Linked DNA regions of Arabidopsis thaliana. The protein of the gene in region 1 interacts with the protein of each later gene in a pairwise test. Each region holds a gene or a part of one and is shown on either strand. Other genes may lie near its edges.

Region 1 (8,092 bases):
TCATTAGTAGAAGGTTAAAGATGGAAGGAAAGAGATTGGATCTTAGATTTCATCACTCTACATCATCACAATCTGTGGAATCTGCTGCATTGGATTTGGATAAAAATGTTTACAATCATATTAAATTGGCGTCTTCATCGCCGCTTCAACCGTTTCCATCAGGCGCTCAGCATCCTGAAACTAGTGCTGCTGCTGCTTACTTCTCTTGGCCTACTTCAAGTAGATTGAATGATTCAGCGGAAGACAGAGCAAACTATTTTGCAAATCTTCAAAAAGGTGTTTTGCCTGAAAGTTTTGATGGTTTACCTACTGGGAAGAAAGCTACTACATTGCTTGAGTTGATGATGATTAGAGCTTTTCATAGTAAGAATTTAAGGAGGTTTAGTCTCGGTACGGCTATTGGATTTCGGATTCGACGAGGTGTTTTGACAAATATAGCGGCTATTCTTGTTTTTGTTGCTCGGAAAGTTCACAAGCAATGGCTTAATCCTCTTCAGTGTTTACCTACAGCCTTGGAGGTGAGATATCTCTTGCCTATGATACTTTACTTATAATCGTTTGCTTGTGCTTGAAAGAGTATATTGGAACTTTTAGTAATGTAGGTACTACAGCATGGAACCTATTATAGAAAACTTTACTAATGCCGCCTATTTATGTTGCCTTCTGGAATCCTTTTTTTACTTCATAGTATCTTGCTTTGATAGGGTCCTGGAGGAGTTTGGTGTGATGTAGATGTTGTTGAGTTTCAATATTATGGTGCACCTGCGCAAACACCTAAAGAGCAGGTGTATACAGAGCTTGTTGATGATCTGAGAGGCAGTGGTTCGTCCATAGGATCTGGTTCACAGGTAATTTGTGTACTAAACTTGCATATACGCTTGTATTATCGACAATATTACAATAATCATCTGGCCATGCCTCTCATCTTGTAGGTGGCTAGCCAAGAGACATATGGAACCTTAGGTGCAATTGTAAAGAGTAAAACTGGTATCAGACAGGTTGGTTTCCTAACAAACCGGCATGTTGCAGTTGATTTAGACTACCCAAGCCAGAAGATGTTTCATCCATTGCCACCTAGCCTCGGACCCGGAGTCTACTTAGGTGCAGTGGAAAGAGCAACTTCATTCATTACCGATGACCTTTGGTATGGCATTTTCGCTGGAACTAACCCAGGTAGCCTAGTAACAATGTATAGAGTTAACTCTGATGTATAATGGCGTAGCACGATTTTAATTATCGGTTTCTCTCTTTCTGCAGAAACATTTGTTCGAGCTGATGGAGCCTTCATTCCATTTGCCGAGGACTTCAATACGAACAATGTAACCACAACTGTCAAAGGGATTGGTGAGATTGGTGATATCCATGCTACTGATCTACAGTCTCCAGTTAACAGTCTAATAGGAAGAAAAGTTGTCAAAGTTGGAAGAAGCTCGGGTTTGACCACTGGGACCATAATGGCTTACGCGTTGGAATACAATGACGAGAAAGGAATTTGTTTCCTAACCGATTTTCTTGTTGTTGGTGAAAACCAGCAGACTTTTGATCTTGAGGGTGATAGTGGAAGCCTTATTCTGTTGGCTGCGGGCGATGAGAAGAACGAGAAACCGCGACCTGTTGGAATCATATGGGGAGGAACAGCAAACAGGGGACGGTTGAAGCTAAAAGTGGGGGAACAACCTGAGAATTGGACAAGTGGAGTTGATCTTGGCAGAGTTCTTAATCTTCTTGAGCTTGATCTCATTACTTCCAATGAGGGTCTTCAAGGTCTGTGTTATTACTTAGAGTCTTTTTGCAGTACTTTTAGTATACACTGTTTCCTACAAAGTCTCTTTTGCTGAGTGCAGCTGCGGTGCTGGAACAGAGAAACGGTATTATGTGTGCTGCGGTTGATTCCACCGTCGTGGAATCATCTCCTGGTGTGTGCAATATTTCCAGGTGTAAAACGGGTGAGAACTTTGAGCCTATTAACTTGAATGTCCAGCAAGTTCTTATAGAAGACGACAACTCAAACATTCACCCAGAGTTCCAAATAGAAGACGTGTTAGAATCAGTGGCTGTGATCGAAGAACACCAGTTCATTCCAAGTTCAAGCAACAACGGATCCGCACTTCATCAGAAACCTAATGGACCAGAGAATCTCGAATCCAAGAACCTGTCTTCGCTTAAGACTAGTAGCTCAGGTGATGAGATAGGCTTTTCTTTGCAGTTAGGTGAGTCAGATACAAAGAAAAGAAAGCGAACTGATTCACCAGATGGTTCTCAAGAAGATGAAGAGTGAGGGTTATGCTCATGAGACTTCATAACATACCAGAGGAGTCAATAGTAACATCACTATTATTTTTCCACTGCATTTTTTCTCCAGAGGAAAGATATTCAGAATAGCATATTTGTAATGGCTAATGCCAAGGGATAGTCAAACGTTATGAGCATATATGTGTTGGTGATTTTATGAACACCTATAATTTTGTTGTACCTTAAGAACATCTGGGAGCATAAGCAATTGCAATGAAACCTCCCAGAAGGAATTGTTATAAGTGTAAGTAGATACAGCCCTATGGATTAATTGGATTACAAAAACGCTCACAAGACGAAGAATGCCTAGTCGCTAGTCCGTAGATACAGTTGGCCAGCCTTGGTCAGCTTGAAACTTTACAAATTCAGCGAGAAGCTTGATTTCTTCGTCCTGCAACCGCGGTCCAAAGGTACATTGTCCTCTCGGTGTGCATTTCTCACCAAATCCCTGAAGTAAATCATCAGACATACTTCAGATCATCTAGCTAAGTGGAAGACAATTCTCAGTTTTATACAAGGAATTTCTTCAAGGAGATCTCACCGGCATTCTTCCCTTTCCAAAGTAGGTAACACGATATATTTCTTCCTCAGTATCAACTCCATTTCTGTAGAAAAGTAAATAAACCATTGCAAATCTTAAGAGATAACGATCTGTGTAACCGATTTTTCCTGTCAGAATATTATAGATGCACACAGCACACAGTTCTTTGAGTGTCCAGCATAAGTTATATTACCTTTCGAGGTCTTTTGTGAAAAGCGTTGCACCCTGGAAAAGTGGAAAGATATGAGCTAATTGACTCGAAGGTAATGAAAGATGACATGAGAAGAGAATCAAGAATGGTTTTTAGCTCACAGGTTGAATAATGTTTCCACCTGTATCATGACACCCGATACAAGCTCTATTAAACAATGTAGCTCCTCTCTGTATATCCAAAGTCTGCCCAAGAGATTCTACACCACAATACCCATAAAAGCAAGAAACTTTCATAAACACATTCAAAACATACTTCAGTTCCAATAGCAATTCAACGATACATTGATTACATCGTTGTTTCCAGTTACAGAATCCAGATTCCATATCAGTAGTTCCAACAAGAAAACATTCTTGAATAAAACAACAAATTCAGACAGAAATTTCTCAAAATCCTCTTCATTTTTCACAAGCAATGGGTGAGACAAGTGTTCTACAAAAATACTCTGTTAACTTATAACTATACGAATTCCTTAAAGTGAAGAGCTATTCTGTAATATTTCAATCTAAGTGCAAATACTCTAAAGGTAGAAGCTTTTGGTCGGAGGAAACAAGGGTTTACCTGGAGGGAAACAGATGGGTGAAACAGCAAGTAAAACCGCCGTGAGTGGCGGAGCTAACTTCTTTAACAGAAAGTCCAAATCTTTGTTGTGGTTTAGAGAAATTGGGTTTTTCAGTTCTTTTCCTCTTCCATTGACCTTTCGAACAATAGATACAAACTCACGTTCATGTATGAAACCATTATCTTAACAAAATGTTTACATAGAGAGAAAGAAATAGAGAACCTGTTGGGAGGAACAAAAAAGGTTGGAGGTGAAAGAAGAGGCACCAGAGAGAACAAGTCTCATCTCAAAGAATTTTTTTTTTTTTCCTTTTAACTGTTTGATATTATCCATTGCACTCTCTGTTTGATATATTATCTTTAAAGTAATAAATTGTGTCCCACAGGTTTGGATGTCCGAACAAATGTTAAAAAATCAAACAGATTATTATTAACATTGCATAATAGTAACTATCTATTCAGAATTTTACTAGGTAAATTGACCTCCCTATCATCACTAGAGTTCTTCCCTTGGGCTTCCATGTTGCCTCCGCTGCTTCTGCGAGAGAGAAACATAGTCTGAGAATTTTCCTCAAGCTTGTCCATATCAGCGAAGGTATCCTCTGGAAATAATTCGGGTATGAAAGTATCTTCTTCAACGTCAACATCGAACTCCATATTGTCCCATTGCTCCATGTCCTCCTCCTTAACCACCATGGCCGCATAAGGAGGAGAAGCAGGGGAGGAAGGCAAATGGGATTTATCCGGTCCTTCTTTGTCTTGGGAGACTGTCGATGAGGCAGAAGTAGTTACATCTGAGCATTTGGAGGAAGAGGAACGAGTGGAGCCGGCAAGAGTATTGCGTAGAGTGGGGAATGGATGGTTATGCTCAGAGATGTAAGTAATTACTGAAACATTTGGATCAGTGCGGCTACGTTCGACTTGTTTCCTAGCAAAACAACCTTTCGAGCTGGCACATCTATAGTAACTCCTGAGAAGTAAAAAGCAAAGACTTAATTAATCCTTAAGTAAACATCAAAGATTTGTGTATATATATAGTGTACCTTGGATAAGGAGAACTTTTGATGGGTTTTTGACCATACTTTCGCCAAACCCATAGGTCACTGGACCGGCTGCCTCGATCCACTACGCAAACCACTCTCTTTTCCTTGTTGTTCCTGCATCCACCGTCAATAAAAACTCATTTTAAACAATCTACAAAATGTATGATATACTACAAAAAGTAATCTAAAAACTAAGCAACCTACTTTCGGCGACTCTTTGAACGAGTGATCTCGATTTCCTTTGTTGCGATCATGGAACTCTGAATATTGTCGACTAATTTGTCAGTCTTCTTTGATTCTGTATGGAGGATTTCTTTACCCATTTGTCGTAGCAAATAGTGCATCACTATTTCCCCATTGGAAGATACACGTATGAGAGACCTATAGGCTAAGACCTTGAGCCCATAACTAACGTCCATGTCAATAATGTTAGCAATAAGTGGTGCTACCAAACCAACATCCTCGTCATTGAACAAACCCGCTATGTAAAGAAACAAAGCTTTATATATCTCCTGTAAACCAGCATATCTGACTCTCAATACTTCTTCATCTTCATTACCAGAAACCTCCATCGGATCCAAGGACAAAACTGGTGATATATTCTCGATACTTGTATTGCAGTTTACAGCAGTTATTAAACGGACTCCACATCTTGTCACTGTGCAACTATCATTTAGAGGCTTTCTCTGTTTATTGACAGGAAAGAACTCAAAAACAACTAAATCAGCCCAGATATCGGGGTCATTTCCTTCATCGGTATCTGGACGCATGTTGACATCAAAGAAGACAAACGTATGATCCCTTTCAACAGCTTTCCCTAAAGCCCAACAATGCAAATTTATTTCTCTCCTATGAGAGTGGCCTTCCTTGTTTTTCCATTTGCAAACACAACTAATGCCAAAATCAGTATCATCACAGTAACCCTCGGAAAATGCGACTTGCACCAGCATAGCAAAGCCCACAAGTGTGTTCCTCCAAGAAGGATCTAGTCGTGTCATTGAAGAAGATCCTGGTTGCAGATCAAGTTTGGAATTTTGATTCGCATGTGAGGGCGCACAGAAGCTGAAAGCCAAAGTTTTGTTGAGTTCCTGTTGCAATAATACATGATAAGTCAGATATGATATATGAAGGACCGGGCTAGATGTACATAGCAGGATGTAGTATTACCTGCTGACTGTCACGACTCGAACGCTGCACAGTCTTTTGAGAAAAGCCTGTGACATGACGCTCTCTTGGTATGTGTTTTGCAATCACATTAGCCATCGCCTGCACTAAAAAATCGTTGACCACTTGTGGAGATAGATCGAAACAATTACTAAATGTGTAATGCACAGGAAGCTTCTTGAAGTCCAAACGAATTGATTTGAGAGAGACACAACCATGGGCATTAAAGAATTCTAGACTTTGAGGAAGTTGTGGCACTTGTCTTACTGCAGTGCCAACAAGATATAACTCTTTCAGGTTCCGTGGGAAACCCTGGATAGTCTCGAGCTCTGAGCAACCAGAAAGATCAAGGGCTTTGAGAAGTTCTAAATTAACCATGTTTGGCAGACTTCGCAAACGAGAACAATCATTCAGCTCCAAGCAACTAAGCTTGCCAGGATTTTGGTAAGATGTGCTAATTTTCATCAGGCTTGTTAAAGGTTTGAGATCACTTTGCTCAAGGTTTGAGACACCTGAAAGACCCGGGATTTCAGCTAGAAGATTCAAAAGCTCTCTGTAGTTTGGCTTAACAATGGAAAGTGGTAATTCTATTATACCAGTCCCCTGTAGATTCAGTGTCTCAATATTTGGGGGAATTTCTGGGAAACTTTTGATCTCTGTGCAACCTGAGAGATTTACAACTCGTAAATGTAGCAATTGACCGGTGGCTGGGAAACTCTGCAGTCTTGTACAGCCTTGGAGATCAACTACCTCAAGATTTTGAGCTTTTAAAAGATCGTCAATATCAACTAGTTGTTGGGAATGACAAAGCCTGATTGTCTTCAACATCTCCAGGTCCTACGAAAAAAAATGTCAAAAAAAGAATTACAAAATCTGTCTTTGAGTATAGATAACGGCGAAAAACGCATATTTGAGATTGCTTACCTTGGTTCCACCCCAAAGTTTCTTAAGTTGGCTGTACGGCATGTTGATTTCAACAAGGTGTATAGGATCAAAATTTTGAGGCAGAAACTGCAGAGGATAGTTCTCCCAATGCAGGAGTCTTAGCACATTAGGAAGAGAACTGAGAGAGCCTTTGAGGAAATTGTTTACATGATGGACTTCAGGATTGGAACTGTAAATCTTGAACAATCTAAGGTTCAACATATTATCAAAGGCAACATGCTTAATATCAAAACTTAAGTTTGATGTGTCCAGAAACATGCCTTCGATCTCTTCAGGGACCTGAAAGAATATTGGAAGTGGATTATAGTAGGATGTTGGCTCATAAAATAGGTTCAATATAAAACTATTAAATGATAACAGACCTGAGCACGTTCAAAAGTTGTTTTTTGTTCTTCATTTTCGTTTTGTTCCTTATCTTCTAATAAATATTTGATGCTGCAAGGTTCCCACAGTCTGCTGCGCCTCTTAGTCTGTCTTGTTTCTCTATTTATTATTTGTCGGCCAACATCTTGGATCAAGTTATGCATCCGCACTCGGTTTTCTGAAATAGTCACCAGACTCTTCTCCACAAGAACATCAATTCCAACATGTGGAAAGAAACCACAACCCTCAAGCAGTTGCATCACGTAGTCAACATTTTCTCCCTGGAAGAAACAAGCTATGTCCAAAAAAATGTTTTTTTCCCTGTCATTGAGTGTGTCATACGAGCTCTTGATTGCATCAACAAAAATAGCTGGAGGACATTCCTTGAGTTTGAGGAATGCTATCTCCATTTCTGGTGGTCTTTTCTTCCCCATCAGTTCTCTGCCATAGAGATTGAGAGCTAATGGATGGCCATTAGCATATTTAATAACTTTCATTGACACCTCGTGGAGATTCTGCTCTGCCATATCGTCTATAGACGCACACAAAGAGAAGAGTTGAAGAGCCTCTTTCTCATTTAAACCCTGAACCTCGTATATTTGATTGACTCGACAAAGGCGAAACACCGATTTATCTTTGGAGGTTATGATGATTAGACTTTTGGGACCAAACCAGTCAAACCCTCCAAGAAAAGACTCCACAACCAGAGGACTGCGGACATCATCAAGAACAACAAGAACCCTCTTATTGTTTAATCTATCCCTAAGCAAGCTCAATTTCGTAACGGTACCACTAGCACCAGCATTTTCTTTCAAAAACTGTTCCTCCAGCAAACAATAAACACCCTTCTCTTGAATAGCTTTGGTGTAGTCTTCAATAAAGCAATGAGCATCAAACTCACCAGACATTTGGTCAAAGACTGCTTTAGCAAGTGTAGTCTTGCCTATGCCAGGCATACCCCAAATTCCAACA
Region 2 (6,088 bases), on another chromosome or scaffold:
TCATATTTGCTGCTGTAAATTTAAAATGACTTTTTTTCAATTTCTAATTTTCCCTTGATCATCTTACAAAAGGACTTATTATTAAATTCACATATGACAATATACATTTTACACACTAACTCACAACCACCACCACTAAAGAAAAAACTAATCAAGACAAAAGAAAAACAGATTAAAGAAAAAATCTAAAGATTCTCCTCCTTCCCTTTATCCAGACGCCAACTGCTTTCTTTTCTTTTCTTTTCCATAAAAAACGCTCACTAATTTCAAAAAGCACACCTATTTCCAATCTTTTTGATATATTATTAATCGTATTCGTATATTATATGGTTTATAAGATACGATCCGATATCTAGTGGGTGGAGTTTTAGCCTTTTACGCTATGAGATACACCTCATGGAGAAACTTGAGACTGATGAATCCACGGCGGCTCCGGCGAAAACCCTCGCGTGATCGCTTTCTTGACCGTAATCCATCATCGGACGATACTCCAGATCATCATCGTGATCGTATACAAACTCCGGCATCTCTATCTCATTCCTCCTCACATGTTCCCACAGATAATCAACTCTGCTTATGTACCTCAGCTTCCCGTACAACCTACCGCAGCCAATCACCACACCAATTAATTAATCAACGTTTTTCTAAAAAAAACTATAGTATCAAGAAAAGTCGTTGACCAGAAAATTAAAAAACGCGGCGGTTAGTTACTCACCCGCCGGAAAATAGAAATCGGCCGCAGGTGGCGAGGAAGAGACGTGATTGAAGACCTGGATGGAGGAAGTAAACCTCCTGAAGATTGTCTCTGACGTTTACCGGAATTGCGTCGTAGATCGCTCGTAGAGCTGAGATACCTGGGAAGTTCTCGCTTCTCTGTACGCCGGTGTGGACGTAGAGTACGGCGAATGGTTTTCTACCTAATCGAGGAAATATCTTCTCCTCTAGATACTTCTTCAACACATCCAGTGACAGAAATCGAGCTGATTTCAGAAACAAAAAAAACTCAAATATAAGAACAAATCTACACAGAGAGAAAAAGAAACAGATCCGATTGATATATCAGTACCTGGGAAGAATTTTCCGATAATACGAAGGATCTTACGGCCACGTTTGTCTCTGCCATGGATCTTGAAGATCTCAAGCTTCTCGATCAGCTGCTCTTGTTCAATCTCCGAAATCTGAGAACTCATCGTTTCTCTCTCTCTCTCTCTCTTTTTTGTTTCGTCGGTGAAATTCACAGTTGAATTATAGAAGAAGAAGGGAACAAAAATTGAGGCGAGTGAAGAAGAAGATGATGATCATTTTAAAAAGGGAAAGACAAAAAAATAAAAAAAATAGTGTATTAATTGGAGGGTAATGGGAGAAACGACGGGCTCTTACGAATATTCTATAGCATCTTCCTTTTTATCATGATCTTCCTCACCTCTTTGTGGGTCCTACATTCCAATAATTATTACCTTTTTCGCCCTCTCTTGATCTTTCGTTGTTAAGCAACTAATCTGGTCCATCCGTTTTTGCTACATCTAACGGCTACTGCCTTTTTTGACTCTTTTCCCGCCCCCCGCCTTAAGCGTTACGTCTCATCACATGATTCATGTAGATTATTGGATAAGATGGGCGTTATTTTGGATCATCCCATCCGATGTTGAGTTAAACTAATCTGAGCTTACAAATTATTAAAGATTATAAAGATCTCTATGTTCATATCTATCCAATGCCCAATGGAATCTTTTAAAAAATATAAGGAAAAACATTATCTTCTGCATATTAAACGGATAATAACAGCGAAACTTGTGGATGGATCATTACAATAGAAAAATACCGAGGAGGCACATTCAAGGAAGGTATTCAATAGGGCACCAAATATTGTAAACGTAATTCTCTAAGTTTCCCATACATCATATATCTGCTACTACTCTACACGCATATATATACAAAATACATGTGTGACTCTCTTATATAGACCATACTTTTAGACATTATACTTACATAAAGCCAGTACTAGATGGCTGTAGATTCTCGAATTAATAGTACCCTAACATTCTTTGGAAGAACCTATGAATCTTTCAATTATAAAATAGTGATGCTCTGGTGTAGGCTAAGTGATACAGATGAAGTTGTAACCTCCTATGGCAACAATAAGCACTTTCATTACTTGAATTTGTATAGAACACCCTATAGCTATCAGGAGGATCAAGTAAACAACATTTACGGATTCACCTTAATATTTTCTGCACCAATACAAAATTTACTGAAGTTGATTGGTCTCATTTGCCTGATCAAGGCTGAATCCAGTCATCTCCGCTAGTTCAGCGAGTTCTATTTCTCCGCTTAAGACCTAATTTATAAAAGAGGTGAAATAGGTACTGACATGTGATGAAATGTACAAGGGGTTCAGAGGATTTACTCACCTTATCATTTATTATCCATGTTGGGAATCCTTCGATCGCAGCATCTGCACATGCCTTGAGTATCTTAGTTCCTTTCTTATATCCATCCGGAAAACATTCCACGTAGTTCAGTTCTTTTGCCGCTTCTCTTCCAAACATCTGTAGATGGATGGAACTATAATGAACATATAATAAAAGCATAAAACTGATTCTTGGCAAACAGGTGATGAATGAACTAACTACCTCTTTTTGCTCTAAGCAGTGAGAACACCAGAATGCCCCATACATTTTAGCTCCAATGGAGTTTAGATGTTTTGCTAAAGCAATAGCATAAGGGCTCGATGATGAACTGATCTCTGTTCTAAAATATGGCAGTTCAATGTCACCAGAGCTGGAAGGAGTGAAACAAAAAACGATCGGGATTAAAAGAGACCACCTGATAAGACTCATACATCTTTCGGAAGCTATTTGTTCACTACTCGTTACAAATGACTAAAATTTCTATCGGGACTCCCCAAAGAAAACTATGAACTTTGATTACCGTGAAGGGATTGGTTGAGCAGTACTGTAAGAAGCAGTCAAGGAGGCAACTACTATGATTGCTAAGCATATCTGCAATCCTACAACTTGCTGTATTTCTTGCAACTTCACATCCTACCACATGCATGGAGCACATTATCATAATCCGAAGTTTAGAAGTTATCTTGAGTCAACATCAGGAAAAAAAAAGAAATGGAAATAAAGGGATACCTTTACAGAGAGGAAAAATAGACTAAATGATAAGAAAGCAGACACCAGACAATACAGGCATGATGATCCTGAGAGTTTTGTGCTAAGGATATACAGGAAATATGCACTAGCAGATGCCATTGCAGTCGTGATCCCAAATAACGCGAAACGCCCATTGCTCTTACTGATTCCAAAAGGTAGATTCCCTTCCCCAAGCTCTGCACTTAGAGCGGTTACTACGCCATACATAACAAATCCAATCACTGGAAGAGGAACACCTGGCAAAATGTAAAAAAGGATTTTCATTGAGTTCAACTTACCTGCAATGCAATGTTGGACAAACAACGAAGACAAAGCACTACATAGAGTGGAGTGAAGCATGCTATTTAACTCTAACAATTCTATGCATACTAAGTACCAAAGCTCCTAAATGATATAGCTTCAAGCAAAGATTCACAGAGACTATCACATGCGAGTATTTAATCATGCCTACTATAAAAGAGAGGACAATTAGCTACATAAATCAAACGCTATAATCAATAAAGCGATGGATAATACCGAAAACGACGGCATAATCGCTGTTGAGGACATCACCGCAAGTGCCACCACCAATAGGGCAAAACGCATCGGAGCCAGTGACCTTGAGGTAAGTCAAATACGCAGTGTCTAACATCCCAATACCGCCGATTCCGGTGTACCAGTTGTATGTCGAACTGTTACTAGTAGATACTTCACTTGTAGACGATGAGGAGGAGGAAGACAGCGACGGTGCCGAATCCTCACCGTTTTCCGGCTCAGATGAAGAACATTTAATCGGAATCGCAGGAAATCTCCGATCAGAGACCTAATTCAGAACATCTGACTTCAAATGACCGATCACACACTACTGTCACTGAAGAAAACACATGACAAGAATTTACCTCGAATCGTCTAGGATAAGAAGTTACCGACGGAGGAGAAACCTCACGGAAGCCGAAATGAAACTGACAAGACGACACAGAAACAAACCTCGCCATCATCGTCGTCGAAGAATCGCTATTCCACCATTGTTAACTTCATCATCTTCTCTCCTCCGCTCCACTATCTCAGCCACTTGTTTCAATATTGGGCCTAAACGAGGCCCAAATACGATAATTTGGATCCATAATTAGTTTATCACAATTGGGCCTTACGGTCTTCTTATCCGTCCGAGTCAGCAAGTTATCCTCTTCAACACGACTCACGAGGCACCGAGTTGGACTTATCATGATTCATTATCTACGCATTGTTTACATTTTGGAATCGACTTTGGTACATAATTGAATTTATCCATAGAAATGATAGAGACTCGAAGATCGGACATAAAACTTGCTGACGTGACACCCATACCTTTGTGTCTGTATGTATTATATAAACGCTATAGAACTAAGAGAAGAAGTATCTAAGTAGCATCAAAGCATTCTAAAAGAAGTTTCAAAGAAGAAGTGAAAATGGAAACCACTGCTTTTAACACAACATCACGAATTGGAAACTGGTCATCGGCTATTTCTCCACCTCTACAAACATGTGGATCTTTCAAGTGCCAATTACCAACACGAAGAGGTGTTATTGTAGCTGATCTTCGAAACTCAAACTTCCGATGGTAAGCTAGCAATCAACGACGAGAATCGCCTTCTCTATCTGATTTTAGATTATGAATAAATATTAAATCTGAGTATTAACTTCTTGCTCAAGGAGGAAAGCAACGACAACAAGCAGAGGAAATGTTGCAGCAGAGGCAGTTAAAATTCCTACGTCAGTACCAGTAAGAGTGGCGCGTGAGCTAGCTCAAGCAGGATACCGCTATCTCGACGTGAGGACACCAGACGAATTCAGCATCGGACATCCGACTAGAGCCATCAACGTACCTTACATGTACAGAGTCGGATCAGGTTTTCATCACCGACCTTAAGGTTCCTCTTATGAGAAAGAGTGAAAATGAAAAACAACTTAAAACTAACACCAAGCCAAAACCGTTGCAGGAATGGTTAAGAACCCGAGTTTTCTAAGACAGGTCTCGTCCCACTTCAGGAAACACGATGAAATCATAATCGTAAGTTTCAGTTTTGACATTCAGAGACTAAATAAACCCCTATGAAGACAATCCCTTGTTTCACAAAATCTCTGATGCACGTAATAAACTACTTCTGCAGGGTTGTGAGAGCGGTCAAATGTCATTTATGGCCTCAACTGATCTTCTCACTGCTGTATGTGTGTAATATCACTTCAATTTATATAGCCGTTATCCGGTTTAGGACAAGCGGGTTTAATGTCGCCACATGTACAGGGCTTCACGGCGATCACAGACATTGCTGGAGGATACGTCGCTTGGACAGAGAATGAGCTGCCGGTAGAAGAGTGAAAACAATCATAGCCATATCACCTCCTGTAATTATCAATAAATTCTGTAGATGTTCTCAACGCAAGTATCAATCATCATTATTATTCTCTAAAACATAGTTTAACTGTCAAATCTATATTGGGTGAAAGCTTTACCGAACTTCGAACACCACAAAGTTTACGGACCAATTAAGGACGGGGATGCATGCCTACACACGTTTAGTTTTCGCCGTTTTAAAATTTTAATACTTAAACTAATTTTTAAATGATAATAGTGAAATTAACATTATTTTAGTTAAAAATTATTAATTACTTTCTTAAAATTTAAGTTTTAAATTGGTTTTAAATTATTATTCTTTAAGTTTAAGTGTTAAATTTATAAAATGATAGAAAAACATATTTATACATGGACAAGATCAAACCGAAAGGAACCGAAACTAATATTATGAAAACTAATATCAATCTCAACACAGGTGTTTCTGTATCTGAATCGTTTACGATCAGTTAATATGATTACTTGCTTTGATTAACAAAGAAATCCGTAGCCGCTCTTAAGAATGGCTTCAAAAGAATGGCTTTCACTTTATTGAGTTGCAATCCAAATCAATCTC

What was found.
Region 2: the proteins of CYTC6A (region 1) and LTO1 interact in a two-hybrid assay, tested with the Arabidopsis thaliana proteins (one study listed by BioGRID).

Annotation. Positions count from the first base shown.
Region 1 is NC_003076.8:18,172,961-18,181,052, forward strand, and holds CYTC6A (Cytochrome c), read right to left. Parts: upstream 3,929-8,092; 5' UTR 3,892-3,928; coding exon 3,829-3,891; intron 3,742-3,828; coding exon 3,606-3,741; intron 3,248-3,605; exon of another isoform or gene 3,244-3,247; coding exon 3,146-3,243; exon of another isoform or gene 3,059-3,145; coding exon 3,027-3,058; exon of another isoform or gene 2,969-3,026; intron 2,898-2,968; coding exon 2,834-2,897; exon of another isoform or gene 2,741-2,833; coding exon 2,606-2,740; 3' UTR 2,411-2,605; downstream 1-2,410. Other genes in the region: AT5G45030 (Trypsin family protein), read left to right, coding at 21-518, 705-848, 933-1,173, 1,258-1,764, 1,845-2,278; TTR1 (Disease resistance protein (TIR-NBS-LRR class)), read right to left, coding at 4,056-4,575, 4,649-4,762, 4,853-5,736, 5,816-6,649, 6,737-7,036, 7,120-8,092. UniProt on the Arabidopsis thaliana protein: Functions as an electron carrier between membrane-bound cytochrome b6-f and photosystem I in oxygenic photosynthesis.
Region 2 is NC_003075.7:16,940,485-16,946,572, forward strand, and holds LTO1 (NAD(P)H dehydrogenase (quinone)s), read right to left. Parts: upstream 4,194-6,088; 5' UTR 4,139-4,193; coding exon 4,040-4,138; intron 3,964-4,039; coding exon 3,678-3,963; intron 3,398-3,677; coding exon 3,141-3,397; intron 3,045-3,140; coding exon 2,932-3,044; intron 2,782-2,931; coding exon 2,634-2,781; intron 2,550-2,633; coding exon 2,310-2,549; coding exon of another isoform or gene 2,249-2,309; 3' UTR 1,547-2,248; downstream 1-1,546. Other genes in the region: AT4G35750 (SEC14 cytosolic factor family protein / phosphoglyceride transfer family protein), read right to left, coding at 381-600, 716-980, 1,067-1,190; SEN1 (Rhodanese/Cell cycle control phosphatase superfamily protein), read left to right, coding at 4,589-4,740, 4,833-5,029, 5,120-5,190, 5,291-5,344, 5,425-5,499. UniProt on the Arabidopsis thaliana protein: Thiol-disulfide oxidoreductase catalyzing disulfide bond formation of chloroplast proteins and involved in redox regulation and photosynthetic electron transport.